Linked DNA regions of Yarrowia lipolytica. The protein of the gene in region 1 interacts with the protein of each later gene in a pairwise test. Links are inferred from orthologs where the notes say so. Each region holds a gene or a part of one and is shown in the gene's direction. Other genes may lie near its edges.

Region 1 (3,559 bases):
ACAACTACCGCCCGTACTAGTTGGTGGTAGTACAAGTTGAACGCGCTTAGCCGCGGTTAGCTGAACTAGTTGTATAATTTTCAAGAAGGTGGTTTCAGGTTGTCCAAAAAACAAGAGATTTTTAAGAGATATTCTACTCTCTGGTTCGTGAACAGTGACCTGAGGTAGAACATCAGTGATCCGGACAGGACCACCAACATATCGCTTCAAACGTCACACGTCATTCGCGTTTCGGACAGTACTAACCAGCTCTCAACTACAACTGTAGGTAGCCTGCCATCAGCAATGGCAACTCCTTGTTTGCGGCTAGCTCCGCGGCTACACCTCTCGTCCCCCTAAGGCTCTTCACGCCAAGAAACGGCCTCCAGGCAAGTTGGTCTTGACAGCCAATCAGCTCCCGGGCAGTCCCGGAAATGGACTCTGGTCCAAGTCCGCTCTGTGCGCGCCTGTCAGTCACACACAGTAGCTCCAAAATGAAACCATCAATAGTCGGACATGCCCGCCAGAGGAGGAATGTGCAGCAGAGTTTTTCGCACAAGGGTCGTTTGGTTCATTCGACAGAGGCTTTATGACGGTTTAGCCCGATTGAAGCGAAATATTCTCCATCAAAGGACTTCCAAAAAGTCACTCAAGACTGGACCCTGACAACGTCAAAAACCCAGCCACAAGTGAAAGTGACATGATGACCAGACCCGTTAACAAGCTACAGTACTTGTTAGTCACGCGCGTAAATTTTCTCTCCCAGATGACGATCACGTGACCTTGCCCAAAAACCAAAAAAAAGGTCCTCCTACCGCCGTCCCCTGCAGTACACATGCTGCTTCAGCGGATGTTCGGACCGTCGGAAGGTGTCGATCCGGCCGGTTATGGGTGGCAAGTCACGTGAGAGCCAGATCGGGTCACGTGCACTACTTCTCGTCGCGAACATGATGTATGGATCAGGTTCAGCAAAATCACGTGGACGGCCCGTGAGTACATACTGTACGAGCACGAGCACGAGCACGAGCACGAGCACGAGCACAAGCAACATCTGTCTTTCTTTTTTTCAAAATGCCGCCAAAAAAGTCCCGTCACGTGACCCCTCCTCCCCATTTTACGAAGAAAACCAAAGCCCGTGTCAATACGACGACTTGTAACTTCACGTTTGGTCATCTCTTTCCATGACTGTTCTGTTTGGTCGACTTTACCGAGGCTAATGTATAGTTTAACCCCACGAACCTACAGTACTTGGAGCAAGAGGGGGTTGGAGCAGAACGTATCGTGTGCTTGTACTGTGGTTGATGGGCTATATTGAGGCTTACGAAATCACTCATTTTTTCTTCCCGTGACTAAAAAGGAACATAGAAATCGCGGATATGTACCTGTTGTTTCGAGATTTCTTTTTGTCGGTAGGTTTTATTACTCATCCATGAACAAGTACGTCTGCACGGAGAAGTTTGTTTTGAAAAATCCGGGGGTATAGGTGAAATTTCGCCGCAGATCAAGGGCAGATTTTTGGGGGTAGTTGGGTCGAAATAGAGCGGTGAATTTGACAATCTGAATGGAGTGCTACTGTGTCTAGATGATTGTATTTGTACGTACTCGATTGTACTGTACTCGATTGTACTTGTCCCTACTCCGAGATGTTGGTTCCTTCACTTGCCCTGCTTGTCCCTAACCCTGGCTTCCGAGTTAGCCGCAAAGTTAGGGTCCCATAAATGAGTCAATGGGGTGTGTAGGGTGGAGATATTTGCATTTATTTTGCTTCAGATTGTCTTTTTTCGGTTTTGGTTTGGCCGTTTCTTCGAGTGACTCATGGTTAGACAAGCAACCAAGTAAGGTCTACAACTTTTTTGAAGACCACGATGTACGATGATGACTGACTCACCTCGTCAGTGTGCAGGAAGTCAAACCACCTTTAGCTCTTCTGTCCTTGGCGACCAAGATAAGTAAAGTCGTTTGCGCACAAAAAAGAAGACCGAAATGATTCGACCGTTCTCGACGCTGACCAAAATGACCCCCCGACACCTCATCTCCATCGGCGACCTGTCCCCCAAAGAGCTGACTAAGCTGGTCGACCGAGGTCTGGTTCTCAAGAAGTGGATCAAGCAGGAGAACAAGACCGAGACCGATAAGCTGTCCGATCTGCTCAAGGGCAAGACGGTGCCTCTCATCTTCTCGAAACGATCGACCCGAACCCGAGTGTCCACCGAGGGAGCCGTGGCGTTTCTGGGAGGCCAGCCCATGTTTCTGGGTAAGGACGACATCCAGCTGGGCGTCAACGAGTCCACTTATGACACCGCCCGAGTCGTGTCTTCCATGACCTCGTGTATCGTTGCCCGAGTGGGAGCCCACCAGGAGATTCTCGATCTGTCGGCAGCCTCCTCCGTGCCCGTCATCAACGCCCTCTGCGAAAAGTACCACCCCCTGCAGGCCATCACCGACATGATCACCATCAAGGAGACCTTTGGAGACGCCAAGAACCTCAAGCTCGCCTGGGTTGGAGACGCAAACAACGTGCTGCACGACCTGGCAATTGCCGCTCTCAAGTCCGGCATTTCCGTCACCGCCGCCACCCCCAAAGAGTACCCCGTTTCCGAAGACATTATCCAGATCTGCAATGATGCCGCCAAGGAGTCCGGAGCCACCTTCACCACCACTACCGACCCCAAGGAGGCAGTAAAGGACTCCGATGTCATTGTCACCGACACCTGGATCTCCATGGGCCAGGAGAGCGAAAAGCAGCTCAAGATGCAACAGTTTGCTGGCTACCAGGTCACTGAGGAGCTTGGAAAGCTCGCCAAGCCCACCTGGAAGTTCATGCATTGCCTTCCCCGACACCCCGAGGAGGTTTCCGATCAGGTCTTCTACTCGGACCGATCTCTGGTTTTCCCCGAGGCTGAGAACAGATTGTACGCTGCCATTGCTGTTCTCGAGGCTTTTGTGGTCCACAAGGGCAAGATTGAGTAAGTGAAAAGCGAGTCACTTGCGCCACTGGTTTCAAGATAGTACCAGTTGTGTATATAGCAGCTTCATGAGTGCGTCGCACTGAAGTTAGTAATGAATGTTTAAATATGAACTGTACCAAGAATGAGCTATTGAGCTCACCAGACAAATCCAGTTATCTAATTGAGCGTCGGATCCATTCGACTATTCCCGTAATTGTACATACTGTACATTCGTACATCCAATAAATCCATGTAATAAATGCATTTCCTAGCTATCTAAACGAAGGCACTGAGATGTCCATGCAGCGTGACATCCAAGTCGACGGCCTCCATACCCTCTCGCTCTCCTTCCACCCACTTCTGAACCATAGGACCACTTTCCATAGGACGAATGGCCTCCTCCGCCGTACCAATGGTGACATGCAAAAACTTGTCGAGCGAGGTATGGTCGATACTCGCCAACAGAGTCTCGTCCTGAGGCCCCTGAACACTGTCAACTTCAAGTGCAAACACTCGTCCGTTCCAAATGGCCCGTGGTACATGAATTTGGAACTTCACCTTCTCAATTGGATTCACGCCCGATTCGAGATGGGGTAGCAACTTGGCAACATACTCAGACAACAGCTTGTGGT
Region 2 (3,551 bases), on another chromosome or scaffold:
GTTGTCGTCATTGCTGCATGCTACTGATTGACTACTGTTAGCACCTCTCCAAACCAATAATTACAAAGTAGCACGGACAGGAAGCTACAACATTCTAGACTGACAAAGATCTGATATTGGCAAAACTGGCAGCTCTTGTGTCTATTTAGAACTAATTGAGTCAAGTGTTTCTCTGTCTTTGTGAAAAGCATGTTGTATTCCAGAGATCTTGGAGAGAGGTCATTTGCTAAACATATAGAACCACTAGAAGCTAGCGACTCAGTCTGAGAGTTCATTTATCCTGAATAATCGTCCGAAGTATTCACAGTTGAGTAATCACTTCTTGTATATGAGTGAAAACGGAACATTCTTACGCATCTGGGGAAACAACGAAGGAAGACATTGTACAAACAAAGCTGTTAAGTGAGGAACACCTAATGAAATACAACCGCGTTCCAAATTAATGACCCCACGGAGTACAGTACCCTAAGACTGTGCCAACGCATCTGGGGGAGCTATTCGTAATAAAACCCATGCTATGAATGTCTATGATCGCACGACTTTTGTTCCAGACGCTCATCGAGTAGTAGTGCGATCTCAAATGATAATTGAGTGAATCATTACGCCAAAGTAGAGCTATGCTTTGTATCTGAACTACTTCTAGCCTTACTTCGTGTAGACCTCATCCCTCATCCCTCCTCCCCCATGGTACACAAGCTGAGCCAACTAAGAGAGATTATGAGAAGAATGAATGTGAGTAGAACTCTTTCGTTAGAATAGTCAGCTCCAACAGCTATATATAATTCATTATATATATGCCAACTGGAGTCGTCAAGGCCGAGTTTCATAATCAAGGCAATGTAAGTCAGAGTCGGATCAGACAAGTAGAGTCATTGGGGCCTATGGAAGTGATAGCTCATTGGACTTTTTTTTAATCAAAATTATCTTAATCTATATAATTCCCAGATATTCACCTCACAATTATCTTCTTATATCTTCCCCATATCGACATATATTTAATTTCTTTTATGATATTTTCCTATAAATATTTTTAAATTTCACCATGACAGGAGATACTCAAATCACACATTCCTTCTCTTACGCGCACCAACGCGCCCCGGGGCGATTGTATCCTTCTTGAACTGACAGGTTTACAGAGAATTCCAGTTTTTATCTTATCACTCCTCTACAAAAATCCATCTCTTGCCCTATCTCAAAGTCACAAGCTATCTCTGGCGAATAGCAAATATACCTATCAAATCCACCTCCATGGTGAATCGAACTCACGTCTCCTGATAAAGTTCTCTTCAAACATTTGCTATCAGAAACATCAAAAAGCAACGGCTATTATTAGAGTCCAGTGGAAGCTGTTAGACCCTTTTTGACAGGAGCACATGGCACCTTGGGTGATGCGCACTGTTCAAACAGGCACCAGGGATCAATAACCCTTACCCACCCATAATCATCATTGCCACTTCCACCATCTGCCCTAGCCCTCTCCTCCCTTCTCCACTTGCACGGCAACCCCTCATGACCCCCTCAAATGCCTCACTCGCTCACACCTGTACTTAGGGTCATGGATCGTGTTGTAGTGCGTCTAAAATGTTGCATTACGGTTTTCATAAAACTCAATTTGGTTCGAGTGTGTTATCGTGGGATTTTGGTTGGAGGAGGGAGTGCGAGACTCTGGCGGCGTTGCGGACGTATAAAAGGGAGTTTTTCGTGTCGAACCACGTGCGGTTTTCTTTGGTCTCGTGACCCGCTCTCTCCTCGTCCGGTGAGACCCCCCAACCGGCTCTTTTCTAGTGCTTTTGGCAGCGCCGTCTACTCATGCACACCTCATCGCCTGTTCCTGCACTTAGGGGTGTAACGGCGATTTTTTTCTTTATATAAGGGCCGGATTTTGGCCACCGTGTTTCTTCTTCTCCACCATCTCTACCACGCCCGGACTTGACACCTACGCTTTGTGTAAGTTCATACAAAAGATCTGATTCTGATTCCGCGTTGATCCACCTTGATCTCCACCACCATCACCACCACAGCCACCATCACCACCACCACACCACCACCACACAACACAACACAATGAACTTTGAATACTTCCCCGAACGAAAGCTCAGCATTGTCTCTGCCCCCTTCTCCGGAGGCCAGCCCAAGGGCGGTGTCGACAAGGGCCCCGAGTACCTGCTCGGAGGAGGTCTCGAGAAGCACCTCCAGAGCCTCGACTGGGACACCAAATTCGACGGACACCTTGAGTTCCCCGTGCCCGAGTCTGACGAGGACATTGGCAAGATGAAGCGACCCCGTTACGTCGCTGAGGCCTCTCGACGGGTCTACAAGGCTGTTTCTGAGGCTGCTGTCTCTGGACGGTTTGTGCTCACCATCGGGGGTGACCACTCCATCGCTGTTGGCACTGTTGCCGGTGTGCGAGAGAAGTACCCCGACGCCTGCCTCATCTGGGTCGATGCTCATTGCGATCTTAACACTCCCGCCGCTACCGACTCTGGCAACCTGCACGGCTGTCCTCTGTCGTGGGTCACCGGGCTCGCCAAGCCCGAGAAGGACGATCCCTTCGGATGGGTCCCCGAGTGTCTCGACTTCAAGAACCTCGCCTACATTGCGCTGCGAGACGTGGACGACTTTGAGAAGAAGATGATCAAGGAACATGGCATCACCGCCTACTCCATGCACCATGTGGACAAGTACGGCATTGGAAAGGTGGTCGAGATGGCTCTGCAGAAGGTCAACCCCGATCTCAGCAAACCCATTCACCTCTCCTTCGACGTTGACGCCATGGACCCCTTCTTTGCTCCCTCCACTGGAACTCCTGTTCGAGGAGGTCTCACCTGGCGAGAGGCCTGCTACATCTGCGAGGAGCTTGCTGCCACCGGAAAGCTCGTCGCCATGGACCTCGTCGAGTGCAACCCCGCTCTTGGTGCTTCTCAGAAGGATATTGACGACACCATCAGCGCTGGCATTTCCCTCGCCAAGAGTGCTTGCGGAGATACTCTTCTGTAAGACGGGTTAGAATGAAGGGCAGAAGACATAGACTCACTGGATACGGATGGGGAGTATTTAGCTGTAATATATATAGATTTGATTTTCTTATTTTGGACGGTATTTGAGATACTGTAGAATGTATTGTGATGACGTTAGATGATGTTAGAAAGACAGCTCGCTATAGGTGAGGGAAATACTAGTACATACAGATGTCTGTGTAGGGTCAGTACGGCCTGGAGATCCCTAGATTGATTTCACGAAACTCTCAATCTTTTCCACTACAGCATCAACAGCTCCCTCCTTGCTATCCCGTCCAACATTATGAGAAGCTCCGTCAATGACACCAGACAGCTCGGACCAGTTTCCGCCCTTGACAAAGCTCTCGTATCGGTCAACAATCTTCTGCTTGTCCTGCTTGGGGTCCACAAATGCGTCGCTTCCGCTCATGAGGAACAGCAGGGGCACCTTGATCTGTCCAAAAGACTTTTCGAGGTCTGAATCGGGCAGATCAATGGAAAAGAAGTCGTCGTCGCCTCGAGGAGCGTTGAGAGCCACAAATCGCGATGCTGAAA

What was found. The genes of interacting proteins can lie anywhere in the genome.
Region 2: the proteins of YALI1_D18130g (region 1) and YALI1_E08937g interact in binary tests that used the Saccharomyces cerevisiae proteins (3 or more experiments, as listed by UniProt). The link is inferred for Yarrowia lipolytica from reciprocal best matches to the Saccharomyces cerevisiae genes ARG3 and CAR1.

What each region holds. Positions count from the first base shown.
Region 1 is NC_090773.1:1,811,068-1,814,626, forward strand, and holds YALI1_D18130g (uncharacterized protein), read left to right. Parts: upstream 1-1,962; coding exon 1,963-2,949; downstream 2,950-3,559. Other genes in the region: YALI1_D18115g (uncharacterized protein), read right to left, coding at 257-446, 496-554; YALI1_D18167g (uncharacterized protein), read right to left, coding at 3,204-3,559.
Region 2 is NC_090774.1:892,195-895,745, reverse strand, and holds YALI1_E08937g (uncharacterized protein), read left to right. Parts: upstream 1-2,064; coding exon 2,065-2,997; downstream 2,998-3,551. Other genes in the region: YALI1_E08915g (uncharacterized protein), read right to left, coding at 3,223-3,551.